Linked DNA regions of Caenorhabditis elegans. The protein of the gene in region 3 interacts with the protein of the main gene of each other region in a pairwise test. Each region holds a gene or a part of one and is shown on either strand. Other genes may lie near its edges. The genes, in order: C04F5.8, hrpc-1, nhr-111 and gls-1.

Region 1 (4,456 bases), about 11 Mb from region 3:
GGGGACGCAGAAAAATGCGTTTTTTGAAATTGAGGTGCAGTAGCGCTCCAAGGGCGCATGAAAACTCTCACTTTTTATTATGGGAACACAAAGTTCTGAGACTGCGTATTGCGCATCATATTTGACGCACAAAATATCTCGTAGCGAAAACTACAGTAATTTCTTTAAATGACTACTGTAGCGTTTGTGTCGATTTACGGGCTCGATTCGAAATTAAAGCGAAATATCGCTGACACTATTCGAAAATAAATTCATCTCTAAAATCGAGCTCGTAAATCGACACAAGCGTAGTCATTAAAAAATTACTGTAGTTTTCGCTACGAGATACTTAGCGCGTAAGATATATTGTGCAATACGCATTATTAGAATTTTGTGTTCCCGTAATAAAAAATTTAAATGTCTCGTTTGCCGCCATTTCCTAACGAGACCCAATGCTCGGTTGTCATTTGGCGTTAGAGCGCCTTTGCACCCTGATTCCCTCGGCGTCCCCATAATATTTGAATTTTCGAAATTTATTAAAATCAAAGAATTTATTTTTTAGAAAACTTAACAACAAGAAACAATCATAAAATTGGCGAACAACAAAAATCACTCTGGAACCGAGTCCCCGTGAGCTCTCGAATCCCGTACAATATACTTGCAAATCGATGCCATTTCCTCATAGATTTCCGAATCATTGGCTCCATATTCGAGACATTCAGTTGTGGTATTCACAAATTCAAGCCAGTCCTCAATGTCGAATGAGAGATCCAAGTGTTCCGTGATTTTTTCGATTGGTGGATGATGAGCGAGTACTGTTCCAGGGCGCATATGAGTATGTAGGAACTCCCAGCACTCTTCTTGTTCGGTTTTTGATAGGAAGAACGAGAAGACATTGTTCATCACGATGAATTGATTATCCTTGAAGACGTGGGCGAGGTGGCGGATATCGTCGCGCAGGATTTCAATGTTCTGGAAAAAATAATTGTAAGTTTAGAGGATTTGACAAATTTCCACTTTAAAATTTTCGAAAGCTTCTCAAAAAATATTTCGTAATTTCGTTAAATTTTGACCTGCTAGTTTGAAGGCACTCGCTGTTTTCCGCGCGGGTCTCGCCACGATCACAGTCAAATTGGTCGCTGAAGGGGTCAAATTTTATAGATTTAAATAAAATCGATTTGTTAATTTTATGCTGTTAAATTTCACATTCTGAAGTGCACAGAGAAAGTGTGAAAAACACAATATCTGGTCTCGACACGAACATTTTTTTGTAAAATAAATAAGGTGTGCGCCTTTAAAGAGTAATGTAGTTTCTAAATCTTGTTTCTGCGGAGTTTTTATTGATTTTTCGAAGTTTTTCTTGCATTTTTATTGTTTTTTCTGAATTTAAAAAATACATAACTATATTTATATCGAAAAGTTGTGAAAAATCGATGAAAATTCAAAATTACAGTACTCATTAAAGGCGCACACCTTTTTGCAATTCACAAAAAATTGTCGTGTCGAGACCTGTTACCGTATTGTTGGCAAAAATTTTACTTTTATTGCATAAAACTAAACCTTTAATCCGAATTGACGAATAGTCCGTAACGCGAGAGCAGCATAGTCCGAGTCCATTTCAACGCCGATTGTGCTCACATTTCCGTTTCTAAAAAAAAAAATGGATGTTTCTTCAAATTTAAATATTACGGGATCACAATACAACATATTTGACGCGCAAAATATCTCGTCGCGAAAACTACAGTAATTCTTTAAATGATTACTGTAGAGCTTGTGTCGATTTACGGGATCTCGATTTTCGAAATATTATCGACAACGATTTTTAATTTTCCTTGCAAAATTTTAATAAATAAATGAATAAATCATTTCGAAAACCAAGCCCGTAAATCGACACGAGCGCTACAGTACTCATTTAAAGAATTACAGTAGTTTTCGCTTCGAGATATTTTGCGCGTCAAATACGTTGCTCAATACGCATTCTCAAAATTTTGTGTTCCTGTAATATCAATTATTTTCCACAATGCTCACGTAAAAATCGATGCTCCATAAACAATAGCTCCTAATCTGCTCCCAATGTCCAGTACGTGTTGGCATGTTGGCGGCATAAGTAGATCAAAAAGGAATTTGACTTGAAGACGGCTCAAACTGTGACTAATGAAGTTTAGAGGTACAGTATCCCTCGAACTGCAAACCGGACAGTACGTACGGCTGAGCTCATCTCGTTCCACCAACTCTTCCACGTCATCATCTTCATAGAGAAATGAGTCGACTTCGCACTGGAAAAATAACTTTTATTGTTTGAAATTAAATGTTCAATCCGTGAATTTGTAAAAAAAGCAAAAAAATAGAGGCGGATCATAAATTTGCAACCCTGCGGCACGGTTTTTTCACTGCTTTTTTGTTGGTTTTTTGTTTCAATAAAGTTTATTTTTTCGAGAATTCACCGTATTCAGCTCAGTACAATCGCTATCAAATCCTTCAGTAGGCCATCTCAACTTGCTCGGAGCTTTCGACGGAACATCGACAGCTTTATCTCTCAAATAGGCCGCTATTCTGTCAAGTTTCCGTGCTCCTCTGTCCATCATTTTCTTTTTTTGCTCATTTTCATAATTAAATGTAATTTCGCTCGATGGTGTGCTCTCCACGTATTTGGCCAACCAATCCTTAACCTCAATAACTTGATCTATTTCGAGTTTCGAGAGAAGCTGACGAATTGATTCTTTGGCTTCTCTGGTTTCACGAGCTTTCGAGCCATCTGGCTCTTTTGAAGCCATTCTGAAAAAAAACGGAAATTTAAATTTTGAAAATTGTATTTATTACGGAAACACAGAATTCTGAGAATGCGTATTGCACAACGTATTTGACGCGCGAAATATCTCGTAGCGAAAACTACAGTAATTCTTTGGATGGGTTACTGTAGCGCTTGTATCGATTTACGGGCTAGATTAATAGTAAGCAAAATATGAGAAATCATTCGGAAAAGCAATGAAAAATTGAATTTCACCCTGGGAATTCATTCCGAAAAAAATCGAGATCCCGTAAATCGACACAAGCACTACAGTAGTCGTTTAAAGAATTACTGTAATTTTCGCTACGAGATATTTTGCGCGTCAAATAATACGCATTCTGTGCAAATACGCATTCTCAGAAATTTGTGTTCTCATAATAAAAAAGTGATCTAAAGCTCGGAGCGAAGCGTTTTCAATTAGCGTTGAAGCGCGATTGCAACTCGATTTCAAAAGAAACAATTTTTGAATTTTCTGATTTTTTCTTAATTTTGAAAAAAAAATTCGTAAGAGCCAAATTATTATTTTCTAAATTTTTTGTGATTTTTTTTCCATTCCTGCAAACTAAAAAATTTTAAAAAAGGGCTATTTTCTGGATATTTTTATTAATTTTTTTCTCATTTTTTCATTGTTTTTGTAATTTTGAACATTGTTTGTCAAAAAAAGTTTAAAAATAGATTTTTAGGCGAAATTTATGGTTTTTTTTAATCGTAAAAAACTATAAATTTGTTCTAAAAATCGATAATTAAACTTTTTTCAGGACAAAAGAAAAGAAAAAAAACAATGAAAATATCCGGAAAATGCCTATTTTTGGTCTGCAAAATTGGAAAAAATCGCTGAAATTTTAGGGAAATTCTTACATTTTTTAAACTATTTTTTGTCGTTTCGAGTAAAAAAACTATTAAAAAATAGAAAAAATAATAATTGTGATCGGATAAGAGACACGAAAATAAAAATATTTTAGTTCAAGAATTTAGAAAAAAAATTTTATTTAGTAATTATGACAGAATATGTTAGATTATTATTCTTCTCTTTCCAGAACCGGCGGATCACCAAATTTTTTCGGATTCTCACTAAAAAAGGTTTTCAGGCTTCCATCAGGGTTCCGCAACATTGAATATTCCATATCTGTGAGTAGAACATGCTGTTTCAGATTTCCGTGAAGTGTCACAATATTGTTCTTCTGTTTCTTCACATTTCTCGATACATTTATTCCATTATTCTTCTCCAAATATTTGCCCATTCGATATTCTTGTCCACTTGAATCGTAGAATTTTGCCTCTTGGAATTTGAAATATGGGAGAAGTGAGGTGGCAGTGATTGTCAGTTGATTACGATGAACGGGGGGCTCCCTTTGATGGACAGTTTGTTCGTGTTGATAGAGGAATCGAGACGATTTGAATGTTATTTCTGAAAAAATATAATAGTTCAAATTGCCGGTATTGAAATTTCCGGCATGTCGGCAATTTGCCAGAATTCAAAATTTCCGGCAAACCGGCAATTTGCCAGAATTCAAAATTTCCGGCAAATCGGCAATTTGCCGAAATTGAAATTTCCGGCAAATCGGCAAATAGGGCAAATTGCCGGAATTAAAAATTTCGGCAAGTCGGCAAACTGCTGGAATTCAAAATTTCCGGCAAATCGGAAAATTGCCGGAACTCGAAATTTCCGGAATTGAACATTCCAGCAAA
Region 2 (5,887 bases), on a different chromosome or scaffold from region 3:
TTTTGGGGGTTCGTCAGAAAAATATTTTCATATTATGCTAGTGAGCAAACCAAGGGAATTGGGTATAACGGAAAAAAATAAATATATTTCTCAAACCGACGAATCAAATCGTATTTGTTGTGGTTAGTCAGTAGTGATGGGGGACATTGAAACCCATCAACCGGTTCTTTTGATTCGATGGTTTTTATTTAGGTGACAGAGACGGAAAGCTGTGTCATCGATGATACATTAAAACATTGACCCATCTGTGAGAGACAACGAAGCATCAATTACGAAACAGTATTAATGTTAACTTGAAGAACTATGTAAGAAGCTCATTTTAAAAGAAAAGCGTTTTCTTTTAGGGTTTGCACAAACTTCAAGGAGATTCTAAATAAATTTAGCTTTCCACAGTTTGATTGTAAACACTTTCTTGAATAATTGTTAAAAAATTAAATCAGATGACTTTTAAAAAATTGAACAAGGTAATAGGAGCTTGTGCTACCTGCGTATTCAAACTTTCTAGTGTCTGTTTAAAGCAAAAATAAAACTTCAGAGATTGATAAATAAAAGTTCACAAAAATGTATAAGCGTTTACAACAAAAAAGTAGTAGATAGATAAATGGGAAAATTGAGATTCAGGTATGATTTCAACAGGATTTAGCAAAAATATTTAGATTTGGGGAGTTCCATTATTCGACGAGTAGGACAATGGCGCGCCTTCGACGATATGGTGAGATGGTGTGGAGTTGGCTGAATTTGGAGCAGCAGGAGCCGCAGAACCAGAAGCTGGAGTTTCTGGAATCGAAGATGGCGTTGAAACGGATCCACCACGCATTTGAGCAAGATCATTTGGCTGAAAATTTGTTAATTAAAATCGATTTATGAACACATTCTTATGTTTTTCATACAAACTGTTCATAGAAAAAAGTTCTAAATTATCTGTCCAAAAATATAAAAATTTATCCTCCACTATTTGGTTGCTCATAACGTTCACATATTCACATGATATAGTTATTCTTAAAACTCTAAACATACCGTCATCTTCTCTTCAGTATAGAGCAGCATACGATGAAAATCGGTTAAATGTTCGAGAAGTCCCCACGCGCCGAGGAATCTCTGACTACAAGTGGCACATTTGAGACGATGTCGTGGTTCTTCTGGAAAACAAATTATTGAGATGAAGTATTCAAGTAGAGAGATAACTAAGAATTGAATTTCATACTTCAATCTATATACAACGTTTTTTTAAGTATCAAGTTAACAAATGAAACAGTATGAAATTAAATCCCACCTGGATCCTTGTATTTATTACAGCCAGCGATTCGATGTTCCTTGAACTCTTCAAAATCACTTGTCACGAAACGGCAATATCCACACACCATTGTGTCGCACATTTCTGTAAATTAAAAATGTTTAACCTATTCGTTTCTTACTGGAAAAAATATCAATTTTAAATATGAATTTAATTTCTCTGGTTTTGGCGGATACTTTGATTTTTTGATTCAATCAACAGAAAAATATATAATTTCATCAAAAACTTGTTGAAAAATTTGAAACCAATGTTTCCAAACCCAATAAATTTTTTAAGTTTTAAACTCTCACCATTCGGTGCCAACTGCTCATTGATAGTTGTATCTCCATTTGCAAACTGCTTATTTCTTTTGTTCTGCTTGAAGATCTCGTACTCCTCGTCTTCATAGGGGCGTTTGGCGCTGAAAATACAAAAATTAATATTGTTGGTACCAGGGGTATGAAAGAACCGTATTAAATGGTTTCAACGTTCAGCGAAAATCGCTTTCCCTTTTCAAATTTCATGATTTATCCAAAGTTCGAGTTTGTCCTCGAAATTCGAATTTTTTTTTTTTGAAAACTGAGCACACCGCAGTAACAATCCAACTTACACAAAGAGTGAAACGCCATCGCATTATAACGTTTTTCTTTAGAAGGAAAATATAATGAAAGGAGAAAAAATGAAATAATTCGCTATAACTTTTAAAAACCATAATCCTCAAAACTATTTCGAAATGAAAAATAAAAAGAATAAAAAACCCAAAATGATGAACCTTTGCGCGGAAGTATCGACAGCATGTTGTGTCAACGGTTTCCCAACAGGAAGTGGGGCCGGAGCAATAGTATTTCCTTGGCGACCCTCGTTTCCAGTTGGCTTTCTCAATGAGCCCAACATTGCCAAATGAACATCTGAAATCGGGGACACATAAATAAAAATAAACAAATTTTAAAAACTGTATAAATCGAATAAAAAGTAACTTCGAAAATGTTTCTAATGAAAACCGAAAATAAGAAAAGGTAAAAGAAATTATGAAAAAAGTTGAAATAAAAAGCTTTCAGACGAGAAGCTATTTGAGCTGCAAAATTCGCCGATTTTTAATTTTGGTTGCATTTGGAGAAAAATTATATTCAGATTCAGGTCCTTACCAAGACAACAAGCTTTCCATGACATCCCATTGAGTGAACGGCATGACTCGTCGGCACTACCAGCTTCATTGAATTGAACAAATCCGAAACCTTGTTGCTGAAAAATCAGGAATTTATTTTCCGGCAAAAAAGTGAATTCAAAGTTATGTCATCAATAAACTCGGACTTTGCGGTGGCTATTGAATATTCAGGAATTAACTTACAGCAAAATAATTAACAGCAATTATTTTTCCAAATGGACGGAACAGTTCGATGATATCGTCACGCGTGATAATAGCACGGGCAATGTTTCCAATGAAAACACGAGCTCTGTAAAAAATCATTATAAAAACTAAAACGATACACGATTTTTCGTTCGATAATTTATATAACATATTCTTTAACTTTGTGTGCAGTTATGTTTACTCTGGAAAATGAATAAATCCCCATTTTCTCTCTATTCTCTTTACTCTTTCATGGTCACTTTGTGTCGGTCTTTTGCTTCAAAAATGTTTACTTTCCCACGACCTTTCTTGCATTTTTTCCGTTCTTTTCTCTCATTTTCTTATTTCATTTATCAAATTTACGTTCAAAACATTTATTTTCGTACCTGATCATATGAGGATCCTTAGATGATGTATCATAACTGATATCGCTGTTTACCGCTGCGCTTCCAACTCTGAAAGTTTTTAGGATTACGCTGACGAAGCTGATTTTTTTTTGTTTTTAACGAAAAATCTATTTTTTGGTTTTTTTTAAACCAAAAAACCCTTTACGTACTTCAAACAATTTTCATATTTTACAAATATGCTTTAGCAAAATGTGGTTTTTCATGGTTTTCAATAATTTTTTTCTAAAAAGTTCCAAATAAATCGAAATTCGGTGTTTTTTTACAAATTTCAAATTTTTGTTTTTCGGTCCCGGTCTTGCATCTCATTTAGTTCTTCTTAAATCTTAAGTAAGTTTACTTAACGTGATTCGGCTAATCCAATTAATTTTAAACAAGACAGTTTTGAAACGAATTTTAATGTATTAAAAAGAAAACTAACAGATTAAGAATAGTGCTGTATGGAGCACCAGTTCCATCTTCTGAGAATGTTGGTCTTTGCTCTCCGTAAACTGAAGTTGCGGGTATTGATGCAGCCAATGCGGCAGCAGGAGTTGTTGTTGTCTGGGCACCTCCAGCACCTCCATAGTATCCGTACTGACCGTATTCTGAATGTTTTAATTGGTTTTTCAAGATTTTTAAAAGGACAATGTAATTTCTGATATTCTATTCTAGAATTAATTATTAATCAAATCAAATTTTAACATCACTCGACTATCTGGCAGTTATTTAATAGAATATCATATTACATCGGTATCGCTTTTCCCAAAAATTTCTAAACAACTCCAATTCCGCTGCCGAAGTTGCCTACTTATTCTCTAGTTTATTTCTCATTTTGCATTAAAAACACTAACCAGCACTCATTTTCCATTGATTCTCTGAAGTGTTCGGGATGAATGACGTTTATCACTGAAAATCTTCACTAAAAATTTAAATAATTGAGAAAATTGAGCAAAGTTTGAACATAACGGTTAAAACACGAACATAACATAATTGGAAAAGATTATCGATCGCATGAGTGGTTCAGAGTGGGAAGAGGTGACAATGGTTTGAAAATGAGAATAATGGGAAGAGAAAATCAATCATAATGCGCAGACAGGGTATGTTCATTCCTAATGCAGTAAATTTTTTGTTTTTTTCCTAAAACAGAATCCCACCTTGAGGGGTTTTTAAAAATAAGTGTAAATAAAATTTTCAGAACCAATATTGAAAAGGTATTTCTATTTTTAAATTTATTTTGTGGGCTGAAACAAAAATTGTACAATGTACAACAAAATTGTTTAAAATTTTTGATTCTGCATGCACTAGAGGCACTGAATATCACGACATTTCGAATTTCAGTTTTTATTCGCCAATTTTTCTTGTTTCCTCGAAAAAACCAAATTAATCTTTAAAAAATTGGTATTTCTTTCCTAGCGTTTCGGCATATTGCATCTCATTATGATCTCTTCTTGTATCTTTTTCAAATGCCACCACCTGGTGATAGACTCTTTCGAGAATCTCTCCCCGTTCGCATCCTTACACAAAAACTTATGCGGCTCATTCTTCAGTGGTCCGATTGGTGCATTCGGCGAACACTGATTGCTCCCTCTGTGTGCCTTTGTAATAAAAAACTTTTCGTTGTTAAAAAGAAACGTTTTTTGTCGTTATCTCGAGCTTGGCAAAAAAAGTTAGATTGCTTTTTTTCCGGCCACAATACTTGTTTTTTTAGAAATGGTTACATCTTCAACACCCAGACGTGGGTTCCACATACCGACCACATTAAATCACGAATCCCTTATGGTAATTTTTAAATCGGAATTTTTCTCATACTTTATAATTTATTTTTAGGCTCAAAACTCGCCAATATCGATGAGATATTCAGTATCATGTGGTGGTGGGAAGGGAATTGGAACTACTGGAACATATAGCGGAGCTGGGGGACAAGTTAGCGATAGTCACCCATCAGTTCTCGATTTGAACAGCGAAAACCGAGTAATGGACCGAAAAACGGTAAGAAAAGTTTTTTTCAATCTTTCTATGCATGAAATTGTGTTTAGGTTCACTGGAATATGCTTCTCCTCCTCTTCATGTCAGTTTGCTCGGCATTATTCACCGTTGTTGCTCTACAATTCCACTTTTCAAATGCCGAACGATTTCTTCGCACCGCAAAATCACCGGCATCGGCATATCGAGGAGTAATCGATGTCATTCGGGATGTCATCGCCTCATTCGACGTGGCAATCGTGATTCTGTCGATTCTGGCATTCTTTGTGTCTGCTCTTCAATTACTATTCCTGATGAAGATAGTAAAACAGACACAACAACCGGATGATATTGATGTGTTAGTGCTTTTCAAAAGTTTCACATTAAATAGCTTGAACATTTTAACATTACAGGGCACTTCGATACATCAAATCAACCAGCTTTTTAAGAATTGTGGCATTCTCGTTTTGGTTCGCATCAATAATAGTCTTCGTGATCGGTGAGTTTCTTAAATACTATTCATACGCGATTATAAAAATTCAAAAGAATGAATTCGCTAGAATACAAGAAACAACTCTGCAATTCTAATATTTTCAGTGCTAATGCTCACAGTCTCAATTGACCCATCGCGAAGTTTGGCCTCAAAATGTGTATCGATTACTTTAGGATCTTCCGCCGTCTTTCTTGCCACTTGCTTCGCCGTGAAAACCCTCTATTTCTGGGCAAATCATTCTTGTGGGCACGTCTACCGCGAGGATTGTTACAATTACCTAAGCACACTGGTCTGAATGTATTATTTTTATAGCTTGTTATTCTACCCACTTCTATATTGAGCTTTTTCATCACGCAAAGTTTCTCAAAATTGACACCAATGATCTGATTTATTTCATACACATAAGACTAATAATGAATTCTTAT
Region 3 (4,195 bases):
AAATCCGAACCCTCTTCAACATTGAGAACGATTTTTCCGAGGAGGAACGGGAGGCCATGAAGAAGGAAAACGCTTGGTGCGAGGATTAAGCTCCCTGGTAAACATAATTAACTTGAACTTTATCTGATTCGGTTTACATACCTCTTTTATGTCACTTAAAACAAAATCAAAAATTATTTTAAACAAAAAAAAACTTTGTCTGTCAAGTACGCTTTACATTGCTTCCAACAAAAAATATAATTTAAATAAATGTATAACGTCTGTATATTGTGTAGTTTGTTCATTGTGTATGAATTTACCATTTGCAAAAAAAAAAAACTTTGGCGGCCAAATTTGCAGCCAACTACTGTTTTGACTTGTAAAAAAACTGTTCAAAATCGTTGTAACGTTTTTGGAAGTATTTCAACTGATCGAGAAGAAAATTGTTTAAAAAATTTGGTTGCCTTGGGGGAATCTGGAGAAAAAATAGGAAAGAAATTTGGGTTTGAACATTGTTTTTGAGGAAACAGTTGCAAATTAAATGAAAATCTCTAAGCCAGGACCTATGCCAAGGCCTAAGCCTTAGCCTAAGCTTAACCGTAAGCCTAAGTCTAAGCTTAAGCTGAGCACTACTAGTGAGCAAAATGGGGGTAATGTGTGCATATAACAGCATCAGAAAAATAGTCAAAATTTAAAGAAAACTAATCACAATCTCACAAGCTTTAAGATCCAGGAGAGATTCAAGCTGTCTAGTAGAATAGGATTTAAGCTCGCCGAGGAGAAATAGAAGCCTTCCAGATTTGGACTTTGAAGACTCCAGGTGCAACTGATTGAGAAGGCCGATACAGATATCAAGTTGGCGATCGAATTTGAGATCAGTGCCATCTTTGGCTGAAATTTTAGTTTCTGAAAGCTCAGCAGCTTTTCTAGTTAAACTTACTTTCCGTGAAAATAATAATTCCCTTCAAGAGGAAATAATCCTGCGCCGAAAGTTCGAGGGATTTGAATTTCTCAGCCAGTTGTGCAAATTTTTCATCGATGAAGATTTTTTCGGAGTTTTCGAACAACGCGAGGCACAAAAGATGTGGCCACTGGGTCAGTATGATCTGGCTCTGGAAATTTTTTTAATGACTTTTATGTTTGGCATTTAGACCTTTTCAACATCGGAAAGCACTGCGAAGAGCGAAAACTGTTGCACCCACTGGAGTGCGTTTTTCAGATGAACTAGCACGGAGCTTGTGTCCTGAAATTAAATTTGTGGTGTCTCAGGTTGATAGTTTGTCTCCTGATTAACTAACAATTTCATGTTGAGCATGTTCGTGTTGGAATCTGAGACGATCAGAGTGAGTAGGCAGAAGTCCCTTGGAATACTCTCGGAATGAGGGCAACTCGACATACTCTACAGTGTAGCTATGGGAAGTTCTCTCGGGTTGCACAGCTGGAAAATAATTATTTAGAGACGAAACTGTGTCGCCTTCGCCGGCTTCAGGAGGCTTCTGCCGGCCTCAGGCCTTTGTTAATATGGTGCGGCGCGAAACTCAAAAAAATGTCGGCCACTGAAAAATACCTACCGCACTATATGGTGCAAACACAAAGTTAATGATCTGAAGCCCAAACTCAGAGAAGCAGCTTACCATTCTTATTCATCCCCTTCTTGAAGCACTTTTTAATTCGACAGGACTTGCACCTGTTCCGGTTCGCTTTATCAATCACACAGTTTCCGTCTCCATTCCAACATCCATGTACCAACTTGTTTCTAACGGTTCTTCTGAAGAACCCACTGCATCCGAAACAGGTTGGCACACCTAAAATTCATTGTTATCTAGTTTCTAAATCTTCTTTCCAACCGTAATGATTTCCGTTAGAAGTGTCCCCACAAACTGCACAAAGCGTGATTGGAAGAGTTATGTTGTTTTGCGCGGGGTCATTTACAATCTGCGGTTGGATGACCAGAGGCACTGAAAGTTATAGATATGCGTGAAAGATTGTAAATCTTCTGTCATAAAACTTTTGAACTAAGTAAATTGAGAAGCTGATAAGTGCGGTCAAGTTTTGTAAGCTTCTGGTTTTTCTACTTACCGCCCGCAAACCTCTGTCAGGTTATAACGTAACTGGGATCTAAATAATGGAAACATAGAATACATTTTTGAGATGTCAACAAGTATAGTACAAAAATTGCTATCAATCTGTTCGAAAATGTCAAAAAAATTCCAAAATCTAGAAAACAACGTTGCAAGTTTGTTTTCGACTTCTAAAAATTTTCTGATATATTTTACCAAATGCTTTCATTTATACATTTCGGTGAGTTGAGTAATTATCTAGTTAAAGCATGAAAAAATTTTTCGATCCCATAAATTGGGGCATACCTGTTGAAGTTTCCAAAATGCCACCGATTGACTTCGCATTTTGGCTGCTCATCTTTTTTTGTTAAATATTCTCTCGTTGAGTAAGTTGAGAATATCCTGTCAGTATCTACAATAATAGCATAAAAATAATTTGGTTACTGCTCAACTTCTAATCACGACTCCTCCCACTTGACCTGTTGGAGGCAGCCGGCTTAGTACAAGAAGGATAAAGTGACAGTTAGAGAAACGAGAGAAAAGGTGCCAAAAGTTGAGCAGCAATCTCTCTAAAATTTTTTGCAGATATACCATACTTCAGATCACTTGTGTATTTAAAGTTGAAATCAATCAGAAGCAAACATTCACTAGGGAATGATCGAATTGAAATAAAATTTGGACTATAAATTGTTGAGTCATAGAAATGCGGAAATTGTCCGCTGGAAATATATGATATCACATTTTCTGAAAGCGGAAATTTTCGTAATATATGTCATTTTTCATTTAAATACTTTTTCATTTTAAACGAAAAATGTCTTTAAGCTAACCTAGCGCAAAAGATGGTGGAAAAAAAACTGAGATCTTCATTGAAAATTTCAGAATATTCAGATTTCGATTCAGTTGTATATTTAATTAAATTCTGAAATTTGACATACATTTTCCAATTACGTACTTTTCAGATTTTGGTCATTTTCAGTTAAATGCAATAAAGATATAAAACTGTAAAACCTATGTATAGCATCTAGTATACTCGGAAACAAGTATTTTCTCACATTCAGTTTCTAGTCAAAAATATCAAAACGCTCTCAATGTGAAGCACAAAAGCCCAGCAAAAAATTGACTGAACCGCACCAAACACATCTAAAAAATGCCTACTGCTTCCTAGCCTACACATGTGCTCACCATTTCCCGCAGCTATTCCTTTTTATCGAATCGTACGTCGTTATCCGTCACTGTGTTTACACAAGTCTAATTTTTCAGAAGAGCATATTAATCATCATTCCATTTTTTATGGCTCCCTACTGAATGGGGTGATCAAAAACTGAAATTATGCAAACTGCAAAATTCTACTTTTGACCTGAAATTCGAGCCGTCGGTCTGTCTCAAATTTATTCAATACAAAAACTTTTAAAAAAAATCATATTTTTTAAAATTTAATTTCAGTCACTGTCCACAATCTTCTTTTTTGTCAATCGAAAGTGTTCTGTGCTAAAGTCCAAGATAAAATCTGTGCCATTCTCGTTATAATCAATTTTGGCCCGTTCTTCTCCTTCGTAGTCCAGAATGAAAACTCTCACTATTTCGATAATGTTGGTTTCGGGGAACTTGAAGCACCCGTTCTCGAAGTCCACTGATTTTGTGAGCAACTGAAAATAATACTTGGATTTTTTTTCGATTTTTTATTTAAACTTACATCTCTCAGTTTTACTGCATCCTCTTTTGAAAAGCAAGGTACAATTACATAGAACTCTCTGAAATGGAGCATATCCTCGACAGAAACCTTATAACTCTTCCAGAACGAATCAAAAACTTGTGCTCTTTTCCATTGCTCAAGTTTAGCGATTTTCTCGAGATCTGTGGGCTCATTGGAAAGCAGCTCAATTTTTTCAAGATATCCAGCTTTTAGGAAAGGGATCACTAATAGAAGCTGCTCCTCGGAGAAATCTGTCCCATGAAACTTTTTAACGTGTAGGCAAGACATGGAGGATTTCAAAACATCAAGAAGAGTTGAAAAATAAGTCCCAGTTTGCTCAACATCAACAGAAAGCTGAATCGGAAATTTTTCCAAGCGAAGTGCCGGATTCTTCATGATAATTCCAAAGTCATTGAAAGCCACATCAACAGATTTTGCACCAATAATTGTTTTTGTCTTCTGT
Region 4 (7,932 bases), on a different chromosome or scaffold from region 3:
CGGTTTCTTCGTCTGCTTTATCAGCATTCACCTTCAAATTTTTAAATAATTTTTCAAACATTGAAAAACTTACTTCATCAGTATGCAAAACGGCTGCAATTTCATCTTCAGACATTGTTGAAAGTAGAGCTCTAAGTCTTTCTCTTCTATCCAATGCATCTTCTCCGAACAAACAAATTGGTTGGTTTAGAGCACGAAGTTTCAGTTTTACCTTTAAAATATATCTTCAAGTGGGTAGTTATTAAAAAAATTTTATTCATATGTATCAAAACTGTACCTGAACATCATCTGTTGGCAATGTGAGAGTTCTTGCTCTCCGTCTTCTATCAAATTCTGCAAACATTTCAGCATCGTGGCGTGAATCTGCTTGATTTGATACTTCCATTCGTTCCAAAGACACTGTGGGTCCATGGTTTTGCTGTTGTGCATTCTGAAATTTTAAATTAAAATTCAGAAAAAATAACATAGTCAAAGAATTCATGAAAAAAAACATACCAAGATTGCATTCACGCTTTCTGCATTCGCCAGTGATCCAAACTGTCTTGGCGGTGCTGGAACAGCAAAATTGCCATTTTCAGCCATTTTGTGTGCTCTTAAAAAATTTAATTACTTTAAAAACCACTGTAAAGAATATGAAGTTATATATTAGGACATTCAGAACGAAGATGTGAGACATAGGAATGGGCTTGTAGTTTTATTATAATTTATTATATTTAGTTGTGAAGTTTAAAACATTTTAAAGTGAACAAAGGAAAGAAAATGGCATAAAAGTTCAAAAAAAGCGGTGAAAATTCTTCGAAAGTGGGAACCAGTAATCGCGCTCTAATGATAATTTGAAGAAATCTGAGGTTCTCTCACTTCTTCTCGATTCATTTTCACCCTCATTTTTTTTTGATTATCTATTTTTATTGATTTTCCCACGATTCATTATCTTTATCTTCGAAATCTGTATTGTTTGAAGATTTCAGTCGATACGAAGTCGAATGGAAGCGTATTTCAAATGTGCTTCGTTTTGCTGTGCAAAGTTCTCATTACCCGTTTTTAAAATTTTCTCTGGTATCTCAATCGAGTTATTTTCTATTTCTAGGCATTAAAAATGAGAAAAATGAACTTAATAGTGGCTATGGATGCCGAAGGAGGAATTGGCAAAAATGGCGTGTTGCCATGGCGAATCAAGAAAGACATGCAGTATTTCGCGTCTGTTACCAAAAATGTTTCTGATCAGTCGAAGGTTGTTCGAGATTTCTAACTAAACTTGTAACATAACTTTTGTAGAGAAATGCAGTTCTCATGGGACGAAAATGCTGGGAAAGCATTCCAGTAACTCGCCGCCCGTTGGCAGGACGGCTAAACATTGTTTTGAGCCGACAACTTCCTGCGCAAAAGTCCGATGACTACATTGTTGTGTAAGCTGTCATGAAATAATATTTAACCTGTTGTTGTTACATTCAGAAACTCGCTCGAAGCGGCTATGAAACTACTTTCGGAGCCACCATTTGTGGATTCGATCGAAACAATCTGGAATATCGGTGGAGCTGAAATCTATGATCTTGCGTTGCGAGAAAACTTGGTTGATGAAATTCACTTGACACGTATTTTCAAAAAGTAGGGTGCTTGCACAGTTTTTTTACTCTGTCGTAATTTCAGCTTCGAAGCCGATGTTCATCTCAAGTCACTCGATTTCAGTAAAATGGAGAAAGTTCAAAATGCCGAGGTGTCATCGGAAAATTCAGAAATTTTCGAAGAAAATGGATTAAAGTTCGAATTTTGCAAATGGAAGGTTGTCGAGAACCACTGAATTTTTTTTTGAAATTGCTGTTTATTTTTTTAATTTATATGTATTCATTCACCTGTTGTTTACTCGGGCAGCCCACAATTTTCACGTGTAAATATAAAATCTGTACATGATTCTTATTACTATTAACTTTTTGTAATTCATCGTAAGTATGCGATGTTTGATATCTTATTTATTTCATTCCTTCCTTATTTTTTTAAAATTTATCCGTTCAGACGTCACAGCTTTAACTCTTCAAGAAAAGCGTAAGAAGTCTCGGTTAACTGGTATTTTGATGAAAAGTATGGCCAATAAAAAGGTGTGTTGATAAAGATAGTGAAATTCGACATATTTTTCCCTAGTTTCAGAACCATCAGCAAAAGAAAAGTACAGACGGGTCAACGATGAACGGGAATAACGCAACAGCAACTGCCGCTGCAACAACTCAGAATTCATCACAAATTGGACAAAATTCCAATTCCAGTCATAGCGTCACCAACGATAACACTTCCAGCAATAGTACGTATACACGTTTCTCACAAATCTGTTTTGAAATAACAAGGACGGCTGTTCCTAAATAGGTTTTAGAATTTTCTTGCAGCAATTGCAAATTAATTCAAAATTTTGTGTCTTAATTTCCAATGGTTCATTTAAATCGAGATTTTGGAGACCTTGGTCTTCACAATCTGTGCTTAAAAAATGACCCCGAAGAAAAGAAAGAAAGTGAATAGACGAGTACAGAACCGAGGAGGGCAAACATATATAATAAAAATAAAAAAGAGAAAGAGGCCACCAACACAGGCACGATGCCCCTTTTCCATCTCTTCCTCTTCTCTTTTCAATAAGCATCAAGGTGCGAAAGTCGATTTATTTATTATAACCCAAACTATTACATTTGATTTCCCTATTGATGTGATGAGTGATAAGCAATGACTTTTCTAGCATCTAAATTTTAACAATTAGATTGGAACGTCTATATTAATCATTTCATATTTATTGATTTAATTTTAGAATTTGATTTATATATATATATATATATATATATATTCAATGTCCTATTATTTCTATGTATTCTCTTCTGATTTTGGAATACTTCAACAAAATTCTCAAGAAAACGTTAAAATGAAACATAAAGGGTCTCTAAAATGCGGTAAGCAACAATGTAAATTTAAAGAAAATTCAACTCTCAAGATTCATAGAATTTATTTATATTCATTTCAGACGCTTCGACGTCTACATCGTCCATCACCTCAACTACCACTACGACCACTACAGTACCTTCTTCACAGCAGAGTCAATCTCAAAATCAATATTCACATCAAAGACTTTCATCGACTTCTTCAACGTCACAGCAAACTGGAATTTCTAAATTTCCTGCCAAAAAGGCTGGGCACAACGAGCTTGAGAAGGTAAGTAGGCGAAGATAAATTCGACTGAGTCTATCGTGCATAATTATTTCATATTTTAAAACACATGTTTTCTCAACCTGTTTATGATTCACTTGCAGACAAGCAACACTGCTAATTCACAATCGGGTGCTTTCAAAGGAACCACAAATAAAGATCGGCCGAAGGAAAAGGAGAAGTAATTAAATCAGTAACTAGTTAAAACAAATCCTTAGCTTTTGCTCGTTCAGAAACACTCACAGTGGTAATAGGCAAAGTCAGGTTAACCATAATCATCATCATTCAAACCATGTTAGCGGAAATCAGCAGAACCGAAAGAATAAGGTTTGTATAAACGTATAATTACGATAAAAATTAATTTTAATGTTAAGAATCGTGATCATTCGAACCAAAGTTATCGAGGTGGCTACACACATAACCACAATAATTATCACTCGTTGGAAAATGCTAAATCTTCTGGATTTCTGTCAAATTCTTCCCTATCCTCTGCGGGACAAATATCAGCGTCTTCTGCTCCTCCAGTGAGCACAACTCCGACTGCTATTCCCATCTTTCAAGAATCCAAAATAGTTCAAACAGATCCACCAGTCGAAGAAGCAAAAAAGAAGAAGGAAAAACCAAAAATCAAGCGTGATGAAGAGCCGATGCCATATAAGAGCACTGATCCGAAAAATATGGATTCTGTGATGGCATTCAAAGAGGTGATTCATAAATACAAGACATTTTAGTATTTATCATTTTTATTCAAACAAAATTTTTAAAAAGTTATTAGTTTTCAAAACGTAGTTTGGATTGCAGCACGATGAATGGGATAAGGTGGAGTTTATGTGTGAACTTGTTTCTTTCCTGTCTCCAACCGATCTTCGCCTGCTTGGAAATTGTATCGAAGGATCTGTTCGTTGCTATAACAATCAAATGCGGCCAGTAGAAAAGACTTCAAACTGTTCGGATCCAACAGCTGGTTTACCTCAATTCGTTTGCTCTCCTCCACCTCCACCGCAACAAGTTTATTATTTTCCTGGTATTGCGGATGCTGCCCTGTATCAAACAAGAAATGCAGTTAACTCGGTTTTTGTACAGCAACATCCACCTGGTCTTCCACCGTTATTAGGCGGAATGTATGCATTATTGTCGGTGAATTATAATTTAAAAATTTTTTATTTCAGGCAGAATATTATGTATCCACCTGATGCTAACTTTCATCATTCAACCTCTTGTACGACACCTTCATCATCAGTTTCCGTTGCAAATAAGGATGTTAACAATGTACCAGTTGTGCTATCAAGTAGTGTGAACGGAATAAGCAATAATATTCCATCAGATAGACAACAGCTAGATTCCAAACCAAATACTGCAAGAGGTAAAAAATCTTCATCATTATTTGACACAGTTAAAAAATGTATTTTACAACACAATTTCCCTCTCAAATTCGCAACATTTTTCAGGTTCGAGCGGCAATATCAACCAATCTAATACAACATCACCAGAACCGGAGCCCGGTTCTAATCACATCTCCACCACAGCAGCAAACCCTGCACATCCAACTTCAGTGACTGTACCACAGTCGGTACCACCGGTCCCTCAAGAACCAGAATTGTTTCTCAAATCTGTTCTCGATCTTACCAGTTACATATACACTCTCATGGCAGTTTGTTCATCAACAAATAGAAAATCAGCTGCTAAGGTGAATCAGAATACGACTTTAGATGGTATTTAATCGATTTATTTAAAGATCTCTGACTATGTTCAAAATGTTATTCTGAGAGAAAAGAGCCAAATACTCGAACGTATTCCGGATGAACTTGATAAAATTACCGTTTTACAAGAAATCGGTAAAATTGGTAAGTCTTCATTTCCGTGTTTTGGAGTATACTTTTTTGTTTCAGTCGCAGCCATGACTCATCACCCAGCAATTACTCTTGATGACAAAATGAAATATGCGGCTCTGCGGGACGGATTACGTGCTCAAATAGAAACATTGTTTAGACAATACTACACAACTCAGAAACAGTTGGAGCAAAGCAATCTTGTTGTACCATCATCACAAGCTGTTGGCGATGAGAATGATACTGATTCCGACCATGAATCAGAGGAAGAATTTGAGCCACTATCAGGTGTTATGGGTAAGCAATTAATTAATATTTAACAGAATTTTTCACATGCATTTCTAGAAATTTTTCGATAATTAGTCGATGAATTGAGTTCGGAACATTCCAACTAAATCACTGATAACATTCCGCATCTTTTTTTCAGGTTCGCGTTTCGAGAGTAATCCAGTTCAGCCGTCGCCATCAGTTCCGGGAACATTCTTTATCATTCGATTTATTGGACGACAAATTGAGAAGAACGATAATCTTTTCAGCCTGGAGGTAACACGCAACCTGAAGTTTCTGAAATCATAAAGGTTTTCAGATTCATTGGAGTGATGGTGACAGAACATTTGCTCAAAGATCTCGTGATCAATTGAAAGCTCTACAGCATCGTCTTCTTGATGAGTTCGGACAACAGAGAAGTGAAAAATATCTTCATCAAGGATGCACTACATCCTACTCTTCATTTGACGATGATAACAAAAAGCTTTCAGCGAGCACATCTACAATGGAGAGTATGTATTTTCAATTTATAGTCTCTAATTTACAATTTTTATTTTTGCAGCGTTTGCTCCAAACGGAGAGCGTATTGTTCCACGTCTTGCTCGTGATGCGACTCCAGCTCAATATGTTCAATACATCAATGAACTTTCTGACTTGCCAGCTAGAATGATGCTGTCAGCTGTAATATGTGAAGAGTTCAACGGTACCAGAGCGAAAACAGAAGATGTTAGTTTCTGATACTGTTCATTTCTAGATTGATTGAAAAGAACGAATCTATTCCGAAATAAAGCTATTGCAGGAAACTCGCGAAGCATCGGATGGATTAATATATTCTCGATGGAAGAATCCACGTGCCAAATCTCCAGTTCGTTACTTCAAACGAAATGCAACAGGAAGCATTGACCCGATTGAATTGCCTGTCAATATGCAACCATTCCTTTATTCAAATATCCCGCAAACACAAGTGCAGGTTTGATTTCGAATTTTCGTAAAATCTGAGAAATTTTCAATTTCTAGACGCTGTTCCCAAGTTGCTCTAATTGTGGCGGTCCTCACGCTCCGAAACACTGTGAAAAACAAACATTGTTATCGAAGAAAGGCATGTACAAGTTGAATTAGATGGCAATAATGAGAATAATCAATTATTAAGGTGATCATAGAACTCGTTCAGACGGGGAAGGTTCTCAGCAAAATGGTGGAACTTCCTCTTCCAATTCATACGCTCCAATTCATGCAAACCTCCCCCATGCAGTATACATTGAAAATCCGCAAGCAATGTTAGGATCAAATCACTTCAATCATCATCAACAACAGCACATAATTCAGAATACTATATTCCATAATGGTATGTATTAAACTTTTAAAAATTAGAATAATTGATTCAACATGACACAATAATTTCTCAGGTGGACAATTTCGTGCAAACGGAACATATGAACCGCAAATTCCGATAGCATACTATCATGCCCAGGGAACTGTACAAAACTCAAATAATACTGGTGGAGTCAACGGAAACAGTGGGGGCGGGAACCAGAATTCGAATTTCTGAGAGATGCTGAATTGCTGCTCCTTTTTATATCAATTCTTGTGATTTCGTAATAGTTTTCTTCTTTTTTTGTTCTTTCTTTCACCCAATTTTTTTTTCATTGTTTATGTTTAACGCTCACACATTTTAATTTTCATCGACACGTGTATTATTGAATTTCTCTGATCCATCACATCCCGATTGCCATCATCATCCTTAAAGCGACATTTTCTCGTTAGGTACGTACACGTGGTACAACTTCGTTTAAACTATAACAAATTATCACTGAAGTCTCGAAAAACGTTCTCTTTCTCTTCATAATTCACAAGCCAAGACCACCTGATTAGTTTTATTCAATTTTTTCTGTTTTCTATATTTCAAAATGCTGGTCATTTCTCTCTTTCGTTTAGGTATTCACTTTTTTAATTTATACATATTTTTGTTTATATATACATATATCTTTTTGACCACCCCGTCTTCCACCTTCAAGAATAATATCGTTGATTTCTTGTTTTTTTTGTAACCCTATCTCTCTCTCCCTCTCTCTTCCCTCTAAATTTTCTTTCATTTTCCCAATTATTTTAATTGTTTCTTAGGTGCGAAATGAACGGTGGAACTAAAAAAATATTTACAAAACTTTATGCTGATAGAGGAGAAAAACACAACATTTGGGATACAAAAAATTCGAGAATCGCTTCGTGAAATGATGACTCACACTAACATAAAATTTTACACATTTTTAAAAATGAAATACAAATGAAATAATTGAACAGTTTTTAAAGTATGCGACAACTAAGAAAATGCATTTGGAATTAATTATAATCGGGATTTTACAAATTGAAACCACGGAATGAATTATTAAAATCACCACTTTCGAAGATTATTTAGAAATGGAGTAAGTTGTTTCAGAAAAAAAAATGAATGGACCTTGTTACGTCATGTTCCCGATGGACACTTTTCTAGAATCGATTGAAAACTGAAAATGGCAGGAAATGACAATTTTGGATGAGGGTTCGGGAAGTAAAGGTAAAAAAAGAAAAATCAGATGATCCTGAGGATGAAAAGGCTTGATGAACAATTGGAAAATAGGCAAATTTCAGAAAGTTACAGACAAATTTGAATATATTGCAAAGC

The links.
Region 1: the proteins of nhr-111 (region 3) and C04F5.8 interact in a two-hybrid assay, tested with the Caenorhabditis elegans proteins (one large-scale study listed by BioGRID).
Region 2: the proteins of nhr-111 (region 3) and hrpc-1 interact in a two-hybrid assay, tested with the Caenorhabditis elegans proteins (2 studies listed by BioGRID).
Region 4: the proteins of nhr-111 (region 3) and gls-1 interact in a two-hybrid assay, tested with the Caenorhabditis elegans proteins (one large-scale study listed by BioGRID).

Annotation. Positions count from the first base shown.
Region 1 is NC_003283.11:5,111,001-5,115,456, forward strand, and holds C04F5.8 (tRNA (guanine(46)-N(7))-methyltransferase), read right to left. Parts: upstream 2,755-4,456; 5' UTR 2,754-2,754; coding exon 2,424-2,753; intron 2,256-2,423; coding exon 2,008-2,255; intron 1,628-2,007; coding exon 1,540-1,627; intron 952-1,539; coding exon 589-951; 3' UTR 518-588; downstream 1-517. Other genes in the region: C04F5.9 (C2H2-type domain-containing protein), read right to left, coding at 3,787-4,175.
Region 2 is NC_003279.8:6,924,290-6,930,176, reverse strand, and holds hrpc-1 (RRM domain-containing protein), read right to left. Parts: upstream 3,921-5,887; 5' UTR 3,869-3,920; coding exon 3,859-3,868; intron 3,613-3,858; coding exon 3,447-3,612; intron 3,077-3,446; coding exon 3,008-3,076; intron 2,728-3,007; coding exon 2,622-2,727; intron 2,516-2,621; coding exon 2,419-2,515; intron 2,182-2,418; coding exon 2,046-2,181; intron 1,695-2,045; coding exon 1,585-1,694; intron 1,379-1,584; coding exon 1,274-1,378; intron 1,140-1,273; coding exon 1,018-1,139; intron 836-1,017; coding exon 653-835; 3' UTR 512-652; downstream 1-511. Other genes in the region: C48B6.9 (uncharacterized protein), read left to right, coding at 4,718-4,786, 4,835-4,996, 5,044-5,327, 5,383-5,468, 5,567-5,757.
Region 3 is NC_003283.11:16,122,385-16,126,579, forward strand, and holds nhr-111 (Nuclear hormone receptor family member nhr-111), read right to left. Parts: upstream 2,456-4,195; 5' UTR 2,398-2,455; coding exon 2,346-2,397; intron 1,938-2,345; coding exon 1,827-1,937; intron 1,785-1,826; coding exon 1,614-1,784; intron 1,418-1,613; coding exon 1,278-1,417; intron 1,223-1,277; coding exon 1,133-1,222; intron 1,092-1,132; coding exon 920-1,091; intron 871-919; coding exon 671-870; 3' UTR 511-670; downstream 1-510. Other genes in the region: skr-3 (Skp1-related protein), read left to right, coding at 1-89; fbxa-143 (F-box domain-containing protein), read right to left, coding at 3,479-3,685, 3,733-4,195. UniProt on the Caenorhabditis elegans protein: Orphan nuclear receptor.
Region 4 is NC_003279.8:8,735,126-8,743,057, forward strand, and holds gls-1 (Germline survival defective-1), read left to right. Parts: upstream 1-1,946; coding exon 1,947-2,093; intron 2,094-2,142; coding exon 2,143-2,293; intron 2,294-2,995; coding exon 2,996-3,183; intron 3,184-3,281; coding exon 3,282-3,358; intron 3,359-3,410; coding exon 3,411-3,504; intron 3,505-3,551; coding exon 3,552-3,881; intron 3,882-3,978; coding exon 3,979-4,298; intron 4,299-4,346; coding exon 4,347-4,540; intron 4,541-4,625; coding exon 4,626-4,864; intron 4,865-4,912; coding exon 4,913-5,021; intron 5,022-5,066; coding exon 5,067-5,303; intron 5,304-5,433; coding exon 5,434-5,549; intron 5,550-5,592; coding exon 5,593-5,785; intron 5,786-5,835; coding exon 5,836-5,999; intron 6,000-6,063; coding exon 6,064-6,243; intron 6,244-6,290; coding exon 6,291-6,372; intron 6,373-6,423; coding exon 6,424-6,618; intron 6,619-6,679; coding exon 6,680-6,822; 3' UTR 6,823-7,423; downstream 7,424-7,932. Other genes in the region: prp-4 (Pre-mRNA processing factor 4 (PRP4)-like domain-containing protein), read right to left, coding at 1-31, 74-211, 278-430, 496-582; dhfr-1 (Putative dihydrofolate reductase), read left to right, coding at 1,097-1,231, 1,276-1,406, 1,453-1,605, 1,648-1,798. UniProt on the Caenorhabditis elegans protein: Required maternally for germline survival by forming a maternal complex with gld-3. During hermaphrodite development forms a complex with gld-3 which promotes the sperm/oocyte switch freeing the translational repressor fbf to turn off sperm promoting factors.